Linked DNA regions of Styela clava. The protein of the gene in region 1 interacts with the protein of each later gene in a pairwise test. Links are inferred from orthologs where the notes say so. Each region holds a gene or a part of one and is shown on either strand. Other genes may lie near its edges. The genes, in order: 5'-3' exoribonuclease 2-like and TAR DNA-binding protein 43-like.

Region 1 (10,346 bases):
ACAACAATCTTCCATTTCGTGTCCATATTGAGAACAAATTCCACAAGGTCTTGGTTGGTTAGGTTTGAATTCTTCACGAATAATTGTGAAATATGGTTCATGTGTAGCAAGACCTGCAATTGGATAATTATTCAAGCATTAAATCCAGCTGAGACCACTATTTTAATCTGGTAATGTCCAAAAAGTGTTGCTATTAGAATTTGAAACAGATAAATAATAGAACACATATGAAATCAAATATACCCGTATAATTTCACAGTACTTACACAGTCAAAATTTTTTATATTTTACACAAGTTTTGATTTTATAAATCTTAATCTGAACAAGTGAGACTATCTCATAATGCAGAGAAGCACCAGTGATGTTAAAATTAAATAGAATAGCCAAATATGTTTTCAATTCTCCATTCCTCACAGGCAAGAAAGCTTTAAATTTCAAATCATATCACACATGCCATATGTATAATTATTTGTATACGCCTCACTACGATAACATTGTTAAAGCTAACTCCTATTATGGTGGATTTTGATAAACTGAATAATTATTGATGTTACCTGATTGAACTGTTTCAGGGTGTATTTGGGACAGTAATTCGGTTGAGAGCTTAACGCCATCACTGCTTATCATTTACCGGAAGATAAAGTGCAATACTGAGCATTCAAAATCAAAGAATGTAATATGCTCTAAATGAGTATGTAACCACAAAAAATTAAAAAAATTTCTTTGAAATTTGAACAATCTACTTTTGAATTTTTAAAAATAATGCAGCAAAATCTTTGAAAAGGATAGCTAAGATATCAGTAATGGTGTTATACAATGTTAATTTTCCCAAACGTACCTAACATAATCAAATCGGCATCAGCACCACAAATGCAGTGATGTGTGTTGGGATCATGAGACTCTCGTCCTCTTTGTCGTCGAATAAAATCCATTATTTTATGTTCACCTTCACCTGGTACATTTGCATCAGATAAAATAACCTGAAATTTCAATATGAATGTTGTTAAATAACAAGACATAATATTTTGCCATATGAAGGTTTCCATGTGAGTTTCGAAATTACAAATTTATCAATTTAGAACAGTGGTCGTCAAACTTTTTAAGCCCTGCCAACTTATTTAAAATTTGTCAAAAATTCCTGTTTGTTTTGTTAAAAAATTCATGATTTTTCATGAAATTATAATAGTTTGAAACAGTGGTTAAACAACTACCATACTATCAGGAAAAGCTTATTTACAGGACAATATTTTAAATTTCTGTAATAACATTTTGCTGATTCAAAAATATTTACTTCTATGTTTTTCCAACCAGGATCATTGTTAATTCTATCTTGAATGTAGAATCGTAGACAGGCAGCAAGACGAAACATAAATTCTGTACCCTGAAAATATTTCAATCCCCCATTATATTTTTACGTAAAAAAATAAAAACGAGGATAAAAACAAAGTATAAATTTTAGAACGCATTGAGTTTCACAGTCGCAGTCGTTGGTCTTCATGCATATGGTGGAATAATTTACATCAAGTGTGTGAAAAGCATTTTAATGTTGTGAGACAAGAAGTCCACCCTTTTGGGCTGAATTAATTTCAAACACACGATATACCTTAAGAAATGAGTTTTGTATATTACAGGTTTTATTTGTGTCTAAAGATTAATATATGAGTGCATAAAAGAATTTCTTCTATATCGACAAGCGGATTTTAAATAGATGAAGCATATACTTACAGGAGTAATACAATTACTATCAAATCTTTCTTTTTTGGGGTCATCTTCTGGAAGTGTTGCTCCTCTTTCTTTCAATTCAGAAATTATTTCTTCTTTCAAATCTTTGGCTTCACTTCAGAAAAATGTTACAAGGAATCATGAAAAAATGAATATTACCGATAATTGAAAAAAATATCCATGTCACATAAAGAGATTTCACTTCGTGTCTTGTTTCATTCCACCCATTTTTGTTGAGAAATGGTAATTCTGTTCACTAATAAGGGTTAAATCATAGCACTATATAAGCAACCACCTAAAATGTGCCCATGAACGCCCTCTTAAAATCAACAAAAGATGAAAACAACTGCCTTTAAATGTCATACTAATTTGAATTACTCACGCTGATTCTTTGGAAGCTCTGAATCTTCTCGACCTTTGTTGATTCATTTTTGCCCGAGGTGCCTAGATGATTAGAATTGTGTGGTATTTAGTTACCTACATAACCAATCAGGAGACAATTCTATTTTACGAAAGACCATACCCAAATTTTGACAAATCAGTAGGAAAAAATTATTTCTCGCCTCGAGGTAGAGATACAATTGCTATTTGTTTGTTATTAATATATATTTTTCGAAGCAAATTCATGTACCCTTGAAAAATATTGAAATGTAAGTATGAAGGACCAATGGAGTCATTAAGGCTTTTGACTCGATTTTATATAACCAGTCATTTGGGCACAGCATCCATGATATACATAGAAATAAAAAAAGTGCTAGTTTTACATATGGTACCAGTAGACAACCAGTAGGCTGTTTACAATACGTATTGATTTAAATTAAACTAAAACTTACAACACCATCAATAGCCATATATAACAAACGTCTCGGTCGAACAATACCAAATATTCTGTCAATTGCATCAAAAATAGCAAACATAATCTCAACTTCATTTTTGGGTGCCGGTCTGAAAATAATTGAATACTGGTTACATGCACATATCAGATCGGAAATATAAATAATAATTGACATTATGTTGATTAAATGTAAAGTAACAACTATTAAATAAAAATGTAAATATATTGTATACGAGTATATTTCAGAGAATGGACAAAGAGAAAATTAATACTAAAGAAAAACAATGTCTTCATAAATTTATAATAAATATCAGTATCAGACGTACAAGAAATTTGACAACTCGTACCTACTTAAAAAACCCATCCCACAATGTTGACCAAGTATATGCCAAAATTTGACTTACAGAACTTATAAAAATAAAAATATTATTAATTATAAAACTCAAAAATATTTTTTATTCAGATTATCATTGTTAAAGATTACCGATCTTCTGGATGACTGCACGGATGTATGATTCCATTCATATCAAGATATAAGTTGTCAAATTCTACATCATTCGGGTTTGGTGAACTTGTGTCAACAGGAATTTCCACTCCATTGATTTCTTTTTTCTGAAAATATATTTAATCAAAAAAACAAAGTCCTCATCAGGCAGTACTGCAGTATTTTAATTCATATGGGCTAATTTTATGACAATGCTTATATTACTGTATTAGGATAGGATAGGATTTACATATTTATCCCGGGGGAGAGGAAAGCCGATAAGACGGCTTATCCATATGGCGAACCACGGCCTCTCGTCCGGTTACCATTTCAAGTCGGGTATGGGATTAGTTTTTACTGTATTGTTTGTTTTCGGAAGCATGGACTTGGTGGTGGAGGAAGCCGTAACCGACCAGCGGTTCCGTGAACCACCCAACGACGGCGAGGAGTCCAGCAATCCTCTCGCACATAACCATCCCTGCATGGGATTCGAACCTGCGAACCCACGCAGAGTAATTAGAGGTGTGGTGGCTAGCGTATTCCTAACGCTTAGCCCGTTGAGCCACATCGCCGCGCCAACAGCAGTACTTACAGTACTTCCAGTACTGCAGTATTTTAATTCATATCGGCTAATTTTATGACAATGCTTATATTACTGTATTACAGCAGTACACCCCAGTCTGCCAGAGTGGACAAAATGTTATAACAGTACAAGGTATACACTATTAATCGAAACTTTCACGTGTTTTTATAGAAAATAAATAGCCTAGGCCTATTCAAACTTATTCACCTTCTCTTCATTGCAATGAACGATGATTGAGGAATACTTTTTACTCAACCATCGAAAGAATGCTGGAACACCCATTTGACAAATTACGCAATTACCGTACCCAACACTTGAACACTCACTGCAGTTGTACCGTAATTATTGAATTAGCTCGGAACTTTTAAAAATCTGTTAATTTAAATGGGGATAGGATTTATATAAGTATAAGTTTATTTCGACTCCATAATCAGCAAAACAATAAAATGAATGCTAAAAATAAATAAATAAAAACTGATTATGAAATCAGGAGAGCGAACAAAACCTTAGATAAGGTTTAAAACGTACAGAATGTATATAAGATGGAAGGTTTTGCCAAGAACATGTGGTACGTGTTCACTCACCTAAAATAATTGAAATATTTCACACACGCTCACACGCACCCACACACACAACCATATAGAAGTTATTAAGTAAAGGGAACATGAAAAATTACATACTGGTAGTTAATAAAAAATAAATAAATAAAAATTACTTGCCACACCATATTAAATTATATAATTATATATTTTTCCTGGGTGAAGATAAGTCGACAAGATTCACTATCGGTACCTTCTTACATGCTAATAAGCACCTAGCTGAAAATACATTTTACAATATGGAGAAGTCCAAATAAATGTAAGGTATGTACATTTTCAGCATAAAGAAAGCAATTCATTTTTCAATAGTTATCATATGGTCGGTTTCCCCGACCCTTGACCTCTAAAAAAATTATTCTTATACTCGACCACTACAAAATTTTAAACGCTTATTTTGAGTGTTTTATAGTTTTGGGGAGTTAGTTATCTATCATTTTTATTTAAAACATTAAACCAAGTGCTGCTCACAGGTACCGTACGGTGCCGGATGACCGGACCTGATAGCTAATTTCAGGCTAGTCTTTCGCAGTTGCTCATTGGTTTGCGGTATCAATTTTTAATTATTGCACCTTAGGATTTACATATTTATCCCCGGGGAGAGGAAAACCGATAAGACGGCTTATCCATATGGCGAACCACGGCCCCTCGTCCGGTTACCATTCCAAGTCGGGTATGGGATTAGTTATATTGTTCGTTTTCGGAAGCATGGACTTGGTGGTGGAGGAAGCCGTAACCGACCAGCGGTTACGTGAACCACCCAACGACGGCGAGGAGTCCAGCAATCCTCTCTCACATAACCATCCCTGCATGGGGTTCGAACCTGCGTACCCACGCAGAGTAATTAGAGGTGCGGTGGCGAGCGTATTCCTAACGCTTAGCCCGTTAAGCCACACCGCCGCGCCACCTAAACTAAAGGTTCTTGAAAAACATAATGATAATCAAGTTAATTGATTTACAACTAATTTTTGGAAACACAACTGAAAACTGACAAATAACACGCAAAACATAATTTTAGTCGGAAGATGTGGAGGGGCGGGGAGTATGACCCGATTACTGATAAATGAAATTTACATATCATCTTTTTAAATAAACGAATTCGCGATAAAAAAGGTTCGGAGAAATACGAAATATTACCAAATTATCAACTCAATTACAAAATTAAACAAATATCAGGTATACCGTTTTATTTTGGAACGACTTTACAATTAAGAATCGATTTAAAAATGAATAAGGTTTCAAAATAGAATATAGATGCCCGCCAGGCGTCAGCCAATCTTGGCAAATTTGAAATCCAGCCTCAGACTGGTAACAGGGTAACCTTGATCCGCCATATGATTAAACCGTCTTCCCTATCGATCGGGATGAATATCAAAATCCCACATTGTCCTAAAATATTGCTTTGAACGAAACGTCCAAATTTTATCGGATAGCGACTCCGTACATTACATTTGAATGACGTCACGTGAACAACAAAGAGAAGGACAGACGTATGTAAATAAAAGAACTTGGTCACATGATTCGTGTTTTTGTTTTTACCTTCTTCTTGCGCCATACTGGCGTCCTCGGGGGCATACCCGGTGCTACTCTGGGTTTAATTTTAGAGGATCGCTGATGAGGATTAGCTGGTTATTATCTTAGTTCTTTCCCCCACGACCTCATTGCTAGGGTAGGCGTTATGTCAGTGGAAATTGTGTTGTCAGAGTCATCACCAGACTACTTTCGTCCTTGTGTTCTGTTGTTGCACATTTAACGTTATACATTTAATTTTGTTGATGCAAATGCTGTTTTTGTGTTTCTGTGTTTACCGGTACTCGCCGCTAGGCCTAATTCAAATTTTGCAATGGCAATAAATATTTTTTTAAATTAATTTTCTCGTGAGGGAAATTACTTCAGTCTGTCAGAATTTCCCATTAGTACCGGTACCGGTACCATACCAGCATGCGGTACCTACCGTACCGCACGTTTGCTTTCGGTTAGGATAAATCCACAGTTCTATACCGGTATTTTGTCATTGAAATGAGGCAAGCAATTTGATTTGGCAGCTATCTCAGTATCTGGATCTGTGGATACAGACAGACAGAGATTATTATTGCAGTATTCTGGTTGAAACATGATTACAGTATTGCTGTATTGGTATACTTTCAACTTTACCTGCTATGGTAGTGTCTGACTGTAGTACAGGTAGGTTTCAATATTGTGAGGCGAATGTTGTTGATAGCCTGATAGCAGAGTACGTAATGTGGAGAAAAACATAAAGATTATATTCTCAAATATTTCTGAAAAAAAAACATCATTATATGCCCGACATATTTGTGAGTTATCCGTGATATCACTCTGTCACTGGCTGAATGGAGTTCAGGATAGGATTGACATTTTTGTCCCGGGGAAGAGGAAACGCCCAAATAGTACAGTACAATTACTTATGTTATATTCCAGTAGTCCAATTGATGAGCATGTTTGAAGTTTTCAAGAAAATTGTTTGCTAAACTAATTACCATATTATTTAGCATAGCATTTTACTTGGGGATTCATATCACTGCATATTTTGATCCATTTATACGATTTTTATCGTAGTCAACCATTCTTCTGAAATACCAGTACTGAAATAGATAAACAAGCTGTATGAGCAAATAAAAGATTTTTCGTGCATTTAAACTGTGAAATATATCAAGACTTTTATTTCTGTATTCAATTGTCAGAATTAGGAATCTTGTTTACCTTCTCATTAACCTGTTAAGACAGTAAAATTAAGATTATTGATTCTATTTTTGATTGATTTTGAATTTGTTTTGAATTCAACATTCTAAAGTTTGAAAGTGTTAATACAGGGAAAAGATACTCATTTTGTTGAATTTAATTAAAAAAATTCTTGTGTTTTTTTTTTACCAGATTTGACCATATTTAGTTTTACATATTGCGATGGCAACATGTGATGAAATGTCATCTGATGTGCCACATATACCAGACTCTGCTGTTTCAAAGGACATTTCAAGCAGCTTTTCCCAGGTGGTATTTCCTGATATTTCAGACTATTTTCCTCCTGGCAAAAATGTTTGTGTCAGCTACGTCCTCGCGTCTTCTCTTGAGCCATCTTCAAGAGATTGGATTGGACTTTTCAAAGTTGGATGGACAACTGCAAGAGAATATTGCACATTCGTGTGGGCTCCAAAATTGTCAAACGATGCAAAAGACAGAAGCGTAACTGTTGAGTTCACAGCTTATTACTTGCCTAATGATGAAAATGAGTTTTATCAGTTTTGCTATGTATCAAAGCAAGGAAACATTCATGGTGCCAGTACCCCTTTTCAATTTCGCAATTTGACAGATGGAGATCAGCTTGTGGAAGTTGAGGATGAAACTGGTATGATTGTCCTAAAAACAAAGACGGCTGCTCTACAGGAGCAAGTTGAACGCATAACATCCCAGAAAGAAAAGTTGGAAGGCAAAATCAATGAGTTGACAAATGAGAAAGAAGCATTGTTGAGCGATTTGGCTAAAGTTCAAGATGAATTGGCATCGTCAAAGAAAGCTAATGAGGATCAAGAAAAACATTGTAAAAAACTAGAAGAGGAGATTGACAATTTGAAGGAATCACTGAAAACTTTGAATTCAGAAATTGAACAAGCAAACGTAAAACTGGCAAAACAAAAGGCTGAACTGGATGGCGCTGCATTTGCAATTGCGAAACTGACAAAAGAAACATTGGGAATGAAAGAAAATCTCGAAAAGGCTTATACGAGTCACAAGGAAGAAATTTCATCACTGAATGAGCAAATTCATTCTAAAGATCAAAAACTTGTTGAATCTGATGGTTTGATGCAAGAAATGAAGGAAAAATTGCGGAAATTAGAGCTCAAATCGGATGATTTGCAGCAGAAAAATTCGCAATCAAACACACAAGCTCAAGAGTCTATGGATAAAATTAAAAAAGAGCAGGAGGAGGCTGAGTTGAAGGCTGTCAGATATAAGGAAGAAAGAGATTTATTTAAAGATCAGTTCGCACATTCTGAAGAAGCTCGACGTGATATCATGCAGAACATGGCAAAATTGAAAAACGAAATTCAAGCCAAAAATGAAGAAATCATTGAGAAAAATCAGAAGTTATTGGCACTCGAAGAAAAAGCTAAAATGCTACGAAATGAGTTGAAAGAATCCAACAAACTTTCCGTTCTTCAAAAATCTACAGCTGAAAGTGAGCTTGGTAATATTGAAGATAAGCTAAATGCATGTGAAGCTTCAAAACGTCTCATTTCCACAGAGTTGACTGAAGCTCGTGATTGCAGAGACAAATTAATGTCAGAACTTCACCAAGTGAAACAAGAACGGGACAATGTGACTCGACAACTGGAATCGACACAAAGACAACTCAATGAATTTGAAAATAATTTCTATGACATGAAGGAGAAAGCAGAAGATGCTGAACAGAAGTTGGCAGAGAGTATGTGCAACATCACAGATGAGAAATTAAAAGCTAAACAAATGGAGGAAAACTTGAAAGAGGAGATATCAATCTTAAAGTCACATTTGGAAAGTGCAGACATGGCTGTGGCCACTGCTGCCTCGGCGGATAATGACAAATTGGAAATCAGTACACAGACCCTTGGCGGAACTAATACTGAACCAAAAAGCCCTGTGTCCAGTTCACAAAAAGATGATGATCTGCTCGCGAAAGATAGAACCATCGAAGAATTGAAAATGCAGATTGAGGATCTTCGAACGCGTCTCTCAATGGGGGCTACTGCTTATACAGAAAAGTATATGGAATGTCATAAGCTGGAAAAGAAAATGAAAAAAATCCATGGACAGAAAACACCAGCAAAGGCTGCAAAGCCAGATTCGGCATCTAGTGATTCCCAAGATGGTCTGATTCAGAAAAATGCCCCACAGACTTCTGTGGGAAGTGGAGAATTGTCTGGTCAAGCTAATGAGGCCGGTGATGAAACTGGTGGAAATTTCATGTCCAAACTTGAACAGTTGTTCATGGCAATTGCTGATCCAGATGCAGAAGAACAGGCACAGGCAAGCAAATTGAAAGTCAGGCTCGACAAAATGGAAGAGAGCATGCAGTTTCATCGCTCCAAATATCGCAAATATAAACAAATGTATCAGGAACTGAAGCAAACTCATGGAACTTCAAGCAAGAGATGGACCGAAGAAGTTACTTCACTCAAACAAGAAATTGTCACTTTGAAGTCAAATAATGGTGGATTACAGGATGAAAATCAGGCATTGAAGGAGCAGCTGAATGAGTTTGTAATCAACTCTCGGGATGTAAATGTGATTAAGACACGATCTGATGTTCCAAAATATCCTTCAGAAACGGTTACTGAGACCTTCCAGAAGCATGCACGGGAGTCTAAGTACCCTCACATTGGTTCATCGAGTTATCCACACGAAAGAAATGCCATCATCTCACATAATGGTGATAGCAGTTGCGATAGTGACTCCAGCGATGATTTTCATTTGGCAAGTGCAAGGTTTGGGGCAATGGGTCTTTGTCCAAAGAACCAGTCCTCAGATGATTCTGGAAGAGTTAAATCTGTACCGATCGATATGCCTGCGTCCAGCTCTATAGTGATCAATCGTCAGCCCATTAGGTCTCCCCCACTTATAGAGGTGATTTCAGAAGATGGAGGTGCTGTCTGTGCTCCAACCGCACCGACAATGTCTAATGATCGTGGTAAAGCGGGGTCAGCTCGCCAAAGACGCAATGGCAAAATGAGGAAATTGAAGAAAACGAAGAGAGACTATGCATAAGTGTCTAAACCCTATTGTATATCATTTATCAATAAGGTAGATTAGATACTCCATCATGCACTACGCTTGCATATCAATTTTTTTTAAAACTTGTAAATTGTGATTATCGCTAATATTTTTAGTTTTGCTTGGCATTATATGATGAATGTATGTAATACTAGAATATACAACTTTGATCAGCTGAAGTTTATCTGTCTTTTGTTTTGTTGTATATTGAATAATTGGACATACCGTAGTTTAATTCTCTTTGAAAACACACACAAAAAAATTATATAATTCTTGCTGGTCCTATCTGTGAAGTAAGCTTTATGTATTTGTTTGTTGGACATGATATTTTTTTCTTGTATTGTATATGATGATATTCAT
Region 2 (9,897 bases), on another chromosome or scaffold:
TTTATAAAAATTTTTTTAAAGCAATGTGATGCTCACACACTCTAAAGTAACAGAGACTCATCTATAAGCAAATTTATGGAGGACCACTAAAATTCTATGAGCTACTAAAACCCTATGAAATCATGGCAGAGTGTTATTCCCAAATAAATGATCATAGACGATCAAAGAACATATACGAGGTAATGAATTGGATAGCGTGTTGATGATCAAATTTTTCTGCCTGATTAGACTAATCTAAGATGATGAAAATGAAAAGTAGAGAACAATATTGGACTACAAAAAGCAACTGCTTAGATATTAAAACTCTAATTAGTGTGATAAAATCATGATTCATGTTTTTCATCTAATTTAAATTCTGAACATCTGTAATTTGTGGATAACAATGCAATAATTTTAGAAATATGCTTTGAACTCAATTGAAAATCATCCTCGTTGCATAGAATCCTGATTGATTTATCTGAACAGATTTTATATTCGAAATGATCATGTATTTTGACAAGCATAATGCATGTTTAATTACATGTGATCAATTCAGTCTAACAAATTGATCAAACCCATAATATATTGATATGTACACCTGTTAATTTAAAATGGACGAATCCTTCACCATGAGATAGGTAGAAAATTTGTCATAGAGTGATAAAAAAAAATAAGAAAATGATGAAATTTTAACTTCAATAGCAATAAAAACAATAGAATGAATCAGTGTTTTGAAATACATTTTTTTTCTAAGGGATAAAAAGACAAAATGACAAATTTGTCAGTCAAAAATTCCACTGTTCTTGACAGGTAATTTGATCTTCTTCCATCTTTAAACCTGAAAAAAATATAATAATTATTGGCTGATGTTTATTACATTTTGGCATTACAAGTAAGAGCTAGATTTACGGCTGATTTAGTTAAACAGTACCTGAAAATATAAAAATACACTTCAATAATTAAAAAAAATAACATGAAAATCATTTCTTCATCTTGTATTAACTCGGTTATTTTTGACGAGATTCAACTTTTAACAAGAAGCTACTATGTCCTAGAACAGTGATTTTCAACCAGGGTTCCGCGGACTCTAGTGCTGCGCTAGTACAGTCCAGGGGTTCCACAAGTTCCCATTCAAGTCCCCAAGTATATTTTAATACATGTATATTGTTTAAATATAACCAAGTATTTGCCTCTATTATAAGACACAATTTTATCACATCATGACTAAGTGGTGGATATGTTTGAACATGAGTTCTTTCATTACATGTTACATCAACCAATAATTTATTTACCAGAAGATCATTAAGGTTTTATTGACATAATTATCAAAATATAACTGAATCACAAAAAATTATACACCATACCTCATTCATAATGATCTGATTGTTGATCATTTCACCAGACATTCAATAAGCTTCAGTCGATAACAACTACAATGATCAAGTCCAAACAACTCTTCAATCAATTGTATAACTGACATCTCACTTCATATTTTACAACACAGCAATCCCAGGACAATCGATACCATTTATCATGTGATACCCCAGACATACACCCAAAATTTGATGTGAAAATAGGCTTTGGTATTCTATGATAAATGCTATTCAAAAAAATCAGGTGCAGTCAAGATCCCAGGCAATCCCATAAAACTCTCAAGTTGGAGAATGAAAATTTTGTTATGAGAAAGATGGCTCAAATTTCTACAAACAACTTTTGAATGATCATCATACAGGGCACACTTCTGGTTGCTTCAGATATAGGCTACACTAACTGGCATCCGTTCTATATTTTACTCATAAATTTCATTGTTTGTTATCACAACATGAATGCTGAAAAAGTCTTGTGATGATCAATCATATCCAGGGATGGGCATTTTCGTGATGATTTCAGATACAAACGAATATTTTCTTGAATATTCGGAACTTGGAAGATATATGAATGTATGTGACTTTTTATTGTGATGGGTCCTCCAAACACATAAATTACTGAAAACATGAAATCCATCACTCAGACATTTTGCTGAAAGTTCACACACAATGAGAAAAATGTTTCATCAATATCTCACAAAAAAGAAAAGAGTCATATGTCCAAATTACATCATAAAACTATAGCTTCAAGACAAAAACTGAGGAATCCACCTCGACCTTTGTGTGGCCAAATAAAATAAAAAAGATGACGGGGATACAACATTTTCTGCTGAACCGATTCAAATAATGTTCAACTCTAATCATATCTTCAGTCAATTTAGCAAATCAAATTGCCTCATATACTGTTATATCAATCCAGCAAAAACATATTTCTGACTCTTCCATACAAACTAACCTACAAACAATGTCTTCATCACACAATGCCCAGTTAGAATAAAGCAATTTACCAAAATGTTAAAAATACTTCAGAAATGCAACTATATCCTAGTTACAAAACAAAAAAGACACACATTTTCTGTAAAAAAATATTCTGAAAAAAAATACTGCAAATATTTCATTAGGACTCATAATAGCACTCATATACCGAAACAAAATAATCAATCGCAAAATATAAACAGATAATCTGCAGTACAAAAACATCATACAAATAGAAATATACAAGCATCAGCAGTACCTATATGAAATATACTAATATATGTACATAGCACATCATACACTCAAAACAAAAATTTTACTGAAAAAATACCCACTTGTGCCAAAACTAATTCACCAAATTGTCCAAAATATTGTTTCAAATCGTTGACAGATGTTTCCCAAGGTAATCCCATAACAATTAGGTCCGAGCATTTTTGTGCCGGCCTTTTACTGCGGATTCCTTGACTTTCAGTGTCATCCATCTTTCGTTTATTATCTGCCAAATTGAAGGAAATTTTCACAAAAATTATTGTGTATTGGAAAATTGAACAAGATGTCTAAAAAGTGAAACCAACATGGCATTGGTAATTGAAATAAGAGCAAAGGGGTGTATTTTGTGCAATAAATCAGGTCTTGCCAACCAGAATAGTATAGTATTGATTGAACATGCAAACAACTGAAAATTGAAACTATATCAATATAACATAAAACAGTATACTACCAACTTTTCCTATATCATATTAAATGGCTTGCATAATTGTATTTCTAGCAATGTTCTAGTGACAATATACATGCTACGGGCTGTCAAATAGGACCAAAAAAAGGTAAGCAATGAAAATATTAATTATCTTCTTGAACCCCATGGCTAGCAGTTCAATGCATGATTCAGTAAGTAGTAATTTTAACAGAAAAATTTATAGCACAAGTTAGTTATCAGTCTTGGTACTACACAGAATACTGAATTCCTTTTCTATTAATTTACCTTTTGGATAAACAACAATATAAAGTTGTGATCCCCACGAACCATCTGGTGGATGAAATGTACCTTCAACCAATCGCACTCCCCTCATTGTTTGAGTGTCAGCATTTCTATACTTGAGACCGCATGCCCCAGCAAATTGGGCTGAAAAATAGAGAAAAACAGCAAGTTAAATAAAAAGAGACAAATTTGGAAAACACTGTTGTATCGATGGTTTTGGATGGTGTAGTCAGATGGGAGTTAGGATTGACATGTGAAAAAATTATTATGATACACCCACTAGAAGTACAGAAGTAGACTAGATTAGGCACAAAACTACACGAGACCCGAGTTGAGTTTAGTGTTACCTGTACGGTACCGTACCGGTACCGTGATTTCATTAATGTAATTGAGTAATTACAGAATTAAGGCTGACAGGCTTAAAAGTTAGTCACTTCAGCACTTTGTGCACATATTATATGTTTTTATTTTTTTTCATCTTCCGTCTACAACATGAAAATACTGAACACAAAATAAAAAACAAAGACAAGGGCAACGAAAAGATCGGGAAAATGAGCAAAACCTAGAGAAAAGTTTAAAGCGAACGCTGCAAGCGTTTGTGCCCATTTATCGGTCAGTGATTTCCTACTGAATTGAGTACCGTACTTAACAAAATATTTATCCAGTAGCTACTGCTTTATCTTTTTAAATAACGGCATTACGGGTATTTTTATCTTTTACCTGTAACGCTGGACAATAGCATGGTGCCATCTGATTCTCCTGGAATTTCTATAGCCTCCTCATTTTCGTCATCAGCTATTCGTATATATATTTCCTGCTTTATGTTGTAATTCCTTTGTGAGACAGACATGCTTGTTAAGTATTTCGCGGCCTCGAACACTGCGAGATTCTTAAGGCAAAACAGTACACTTTCACTAATTCCAGAACTCGCGTTTCTCTGTCTCTGAAGAGTCTCAATTTCAACAATTCCACTGAAAAGAGACGAAAAACTCGTCGGCGCCATGTGGTGTCAGTATTGAGCATTCCTATTACCTGCTAATTTTTTGGGTGATCGGATGGAACCTTTCCCCGAGCATCGTATTCCTTGTTTACTTCGTGACATTGGCCAATCAGCAAAATGCAAAAAGTGACGTAACAATGCTCCCTTTTCGCATCCGCTCAGACCCCTTTCTCACTCAGACCGATTTCCAAGCGTGGTCGTAAACATTACCTCGTTTTCGCGTTTTTGAACTCTATTCGTTAGTTTTCAGTTGTGTTTCGGAAACTTAAATATAAATCAGATATTTCAATGATCACTCTCTTTTCCTAGAAGTTTTAATTTTTTAATTGCAGTAATTAAAAATCAGTGTGGAAATAGCTGTGATAGACTAGGCTAAAATTATTTACCTGTACTTTTAAAAAACAGATTGTTGTATGCGATCAATCATAATGATGGTTCAAAACACATACCTCATTTTACAGGCGCCAACTCACAAAAGTACTCTTAAAATAGCCTGGAAATTTTGCAATGGTAAAGTATAAGAAGAATTTTTTGGGGGTCAAAGGTCGGGGAAAGGTCCATTGAGAAATATACCGTAGGTTTTTACTCAGTGGACGCTACCTTCTGGCTACTACTATAAATAATCTCAATGATTGCTATCAAAATTATTTTGACCATATTTGTAATTGTGACTTGCTAACTGACCGCTTTTATTTTTACCGGCGTAATATACGCATAGAAAATAGGAAGGTGTTTAAAATATGATAAATCATTTTAAAATTTCTTGACATTGATTAAAAGACTTGAACAGATACATTCGAAATATTCATATTTGGTACAACAACAACAGTTTATATCATTCAAACTTCATTCTAAGTGACCATTACTTGTCAACCATTACTGTCAGTCGTCTTAACTTTTTGTGCAACAGCTGCCAAATGCATTTTTAACATTACCAACAACGACATCACAACATCGACAACTTTTTTTGTATACCTTGCTTGGTATGCAATCGCAATTTTTTTGTGGATTCAGAAGAAAGTAGAATTACAGCGGAAATTTGGGAGCAGGAGATTGCCAGGTTAGTCCATCCACTGGCGTCAGTAACCATAGTTCCCGAAAAAGCGCATAAGGTTGACGAACTTTTTACAAACACTCTCTGCTAATACCGTTACCCAACCACTTTCAGCATTGGTAGGATAATTCTAATACTGAAAATGGTTGTTTTTTGATAGGGTCAACGATCATACGTCATGAAATGAAATGTAAGATAAAACAAAAAAACCTTCTCGTGCCGTCCAAGATAGTTTGGTCATTATTTACGTGATATTCATTATCCTACATTCGCAAAACCTAAAACCTAGCCTTTTTTTCATCAACAACTACCATTGGAAACACATTTCTACAACACAACTAATGTATGTTTTCTTGGACGTAATCTCGACAATATGAAACTTCAGTAGATATTTTTATTAAAAGTGCAATCTCAAAGAAAAACAACAAAATCATGCTGGTTAACATAGGCGACAGAACCCATAAAATATCAAGGAAACAAAGATACAGTATAAGATGGCAAAGTAAATCCTGAGACGTTGAATAGCGCAGAAAATTTGTTGACAAAACGATCGTTCTGATCTCAGTCAAAAAGTGCAAAATTATGAAAGCAACGCAGGGTCTGCTACATAAGGTTTTACCGTCATTGATTGTTTATTTTGTATACATAATATGTGGCTACTGTGGACAAGGAAAACATTTAGTAAAAATAGGCTTGTAAGTTATAATAAAGCAAACCAATAGCTTTTAGCTAGATTGCAATCCCACGAAAATGTTAACATTTTTCAGAAACAGGCCATGTTTAGAGTATGCAACGGACCTTGGAGATGGCAAGACTTAAAATTTCATTTGTTGACTGGTGTATTTGACAATAGCTCGTAGCTACAAAGAAAATGGGAGAAAGGCAATATACTCAAGTATAAATCGGTACTCCCGTAGCATGTGAAGCAAGATGGCGGACACCGGTACGTCGTATGTGTACCAGGTTAGGGTTAGACCATAATTTCCGGTACAAATACTACGGAAGTCACTTGGCTAGTCCCCAAACTCGTAATAGAACTAAAATAAGGAAAATTGGAATAAAATTATGGCCTGGTTCACATACTACGTTCCGGTGTCCGCCATCTTGGTTCACATACTTCGGGAGTACCCCAAAAATTAATAAACCCAATTTATTTATAAATATACTCCACTCATTTATATGACAAGAAGTGAAAAAAAACAGTGCAACAAAGATAGAAATCAATTACAGATAAGTTCATTTTTACAAATGCTAACGAAATACAAAAATATTATTATACACTGGAAATCTGATAATAGGAAAACATGGAATTCCTAATATAGTAAATAAGCTGTCCAGTGAGAATAAATTCCATTTTGGAATTAGGACTAAGATTAGAGCCAATATATTTATATACTCTTTTCGTTCGAAATTTATCTTTTTGCCCGTTACTTTTCTTTTAGTGCTTGTACGTGACGGGCGGTCAAACGCTTCGTCTCGCAAATTTGCTTTACTCCTTTGTTGAAAGCTGTGGTGTCAACATGTCCCGACTCCCACCGTGATGTGTATTCAGTCTCATCATCATGACCTTCAAAAGTACATGATTAGTGGAAATAGGCGCAAATAGAATGGTTGTACCGCCTCATATATTTGCTGTTTGTTGATCATCTGGATGAACTCCATTCGCTTTTAGGTATCTTCTGACGCATTTCCTAAGGGTGACGTCATAGCGAGAATACTTTTCTTCTGTCGCTGCACTACCAGGTGACCAATGCTCTTTGTATCCTTCTCCACTTGCACGAGACTCTGGACTGCCATTTTTCTGTAGCATTCCTGCTTTGTGATGCGCCTTAGCGTCGTTTCGTCTTCCGTATTGATTCATTGGTATATTCGCTTGATATGCCCGTTCAGGATGTCTGCTAACATCTTCTGTACTTCTGCACAGAATACACCTAAGAAATTGCAAAAATGCCGACATAAATAAAAGTTTGGGACATAATGGTACATCAAAAACTCACCATGGCATCATTTTGTGGAGTGATGTTGTATGTATGTTATTGACACACTCTCAGTTTTACTTTTCATACCCCTTTCAACACAGTTATTTGTTGCAAATTTGTGGACTTTGATGGCGGAGCAACCCTTGTGCACCACCTGTTGGAGGGATGCAGGGACTCGAGATGTACCGATACCATTTTTGTCGTCGATACCGATCCGATATCAGCTAAAAACGCCGATACCGATATCAATGCGTCGATATTTGGAAAGGCCGATATTGCCGATACCGATATTCCGATTCTATGTAATTATTACTTAAGTGTGTAGGGCAGACGAGTTAAAACAATAGTCTTCGAGCATCATTAATAGTGCACATAATTTTGGATCAAATAAGAGAAATATCATATATATATATATATATATATAGAAATTGATGTTTGGGATCCAAATGCGTTGATTGATTCAAAGCATTGAGCACTGGCACTAGTAATCTTGGTGTCCAATTAGAAAACTAATAGAATTTCGCTATACTGTTGGTGGTAAAATGCATAAATGTTTAGCCTGCTTATCGTATATGAAACTGATACATTGAGTTACGTGCGCGGGATTTTGTGCCAATATAACGTTGTATTTTATATTTTACACATCGGAAAATCCGGGGGGGACGTACATGGCTCATAGTTCACGATCTATCCAAGCAAAAAATAATTTAAACATCAGTATTCTAACCTATTTTTTTAAAACACCTTGGATAATATGGAGAAGCTGAATATATATCGGAAATATCGGTCTAAATTTAGCCGATACCGAAAAATTGGCAGATATTGTCGATTCCGATACCCGATACATCGGTACATCTCTAGTAGGGACATCACTGCAACCATTAATAAGTAATCATATAATATTATCATTTTTTTTTTTCAATGACAGAAACTTTTTCTTTCAGATATTTCCTCAAAAATTTTCGAAGATAATCTGAGGCACATCGTCGAATTTTGAAGCATCATCATTAGTATTACGATTAAAATTGTAAGCCTATTAGGAATAAAGACATACCTACAAAGCTTTCGGAAGCCTTTTATTATGAACGAGCCGAGATAGACAAACTCCTTCGGTCTTGGAATCAAGTTCATCGGTGGAGGTCGGTAGAATCCTGTCCTAATGAAACGAATCCATACCTGCAAAATGTCTATTTTTATGCCATGCAGTTTGTAAATTATTTCAGTATTTTGAAATCAAAACAACCATGGTGCCACGTGGGTTTTGCAAACCACATACGTTCAAATAATAGTAAATAATTTTTTTTTGAAGTAAATTTTTTAATTAGTAAATAGTTAATTTTTTTTTAAAGATGGTAAAGTAATAAGCAATAAATAAGCAAAGATTAGGAGTAAAAAAACGACAACGTCATTAAAATTTCGCGATTCACTGAATCAACAAATCTACTTCTTTTAAAGTTTTACCCTCGTGCGATGAAACTGCCATTGAATATCGCTATCGTCTATCGTTTTCTGCAGCGTTCCACTCATAATGGCGATCAACATATTAACCAGGATAAGAACGGTTCCGATATGATATAAAGCAAAAACAGTTTCTCCAAATACTGCAGTAATTTCTTTTTTTGCTGATTCATCTGCGCACGTTAAATTGAACCACCTTGAGAAAAAAGAAATCAAAATATGTGTCTCACTTCGTGATCAAATGTTTTGTAACATAAACTCTTTTCAACCTGAATTATTAAGGCTATATTGAATGACATGACTGGGCGTATAATACCTCTTTGGTATGGAACTCTGTAAAATATCCCGTTCCCACAAGGTGATAAAAAAAGTACTTTTGGATTAACTTTTAAAAAAGTTATTAAAAGATGTTATTTAATATACCCATTTATATTAGCAACTGCTGAGCCTGTGCTATCTACAGAAAATGTGCATTAGGAATACTGTCTGGAAATTAAATTTGTATACAATGTTTTGTACCTGTTGTAATCATCGCTGTATCCAAATATTGACCAGAAGCAAACTTGCAAAGAACTGACGATAGTGGTGAATTTCTGAGTGCCTTCCTCCGAAAAACAGCAATGTATGTCTTCTTTGCTGCTCTGCGAACAAAATGAAACTGTTACATTCGTTAAAACTAGATGTAAGAAGAAACTTTTACCAACTCAATATAAATCTCATTGGATATATAACAAATAAAATCAAATACAACTATACGACATGTCTCCATACCTTGTTATTTTTGTCCATGGTGCAATTGTGAAATCCGTCCGACTGACCGCTGTACCTCCAGTAGAGGGTGTTGATCCCACTTGAAAACGCAAACCAAATAACCAAGAACAAGAGAAAAAACTTGGAAACGTCTCCGATCATCCGGTCAACAGATACCTGTTGCACATATATATTCGTATTTTAAAACATTTTAAAATAACAAAACGATCCCCAGGTCCACTTCATGTCCATCGACAAATTTGGCTAATAGCCCCCATGTATATTACAACATACATAAATCAACAAACTACTCGACGCGAAGTGGACCTGTGGTTTGCAACTGATGGACTGATCCA

Evidence for each region.
Region 2: the proteins of 5'-3' exoribonuclease 2-like (region 1) and TAR DNA-binding protein 43-like interact in binary tests that used the Homo sapiens proteins (3 or more experiments, as listed by UniProt). The link is inferred for Styela clava from reciprocal best matches to the Homo sapiens genes XRN2 and TARDBP.

What each region holds. Positions count from the first base shown.
Region 1 is NC_135251.1:27,215,211-27,225,556, reverse strand, and holds the start of 5'-3' exoribonuclease 2-like, read right to left. Parts: upstream 3,997-10,346; 5' UTR 3,907-3,996; coding exon 3,832-3,906; intron 3,170-3,831; coding exon 3,042-3,169; intron 2,668-3,041; coding exon 2,556-2,667; intron 2,167-2,555; coding exon 2,105-2,166; intron 1,838-2,104; coding exon 1,726-1,837; intron 1,382-1,725; coding exon 1,292-1,381; intron 981-1,291; coding exon 839-980; intron 114-838; coding exon 1-113. Other genes in the region: uncharacterized protein LOC120336859, read left to right, coding at 7,143-9,980. UniProt on the Homo sapiens protein: Possesses 5'->3' exoribonuclease activity. May promote the termination of transcription by RNA polymerase II.
Region 2 is NC_135253.1:15,479,288-15,489,184, forward strand, and holds the start of TAR DNA-binding protein 43-like, read right to left. Parts: upstream 4,283-9,897; 5' UTR 4,151-4,282; coding exon 4,021-4,150; intron 3,445-4,020; coding exon 3,304-3,444; intron 2,818-3,303; coding exon 2,657-2,817; intron 1-2,656. Other genes in the region: short transient receptor potential channel 5-like, read right to left, coding at 6,976-7,285, 8,388-8,509, 8,795-8,987, 9,311-9,432, 9,563-9,718. UniProt on the Homo sapiens protein: RNA-binding protein that is involved in various steps of RNA biogenesis and processing.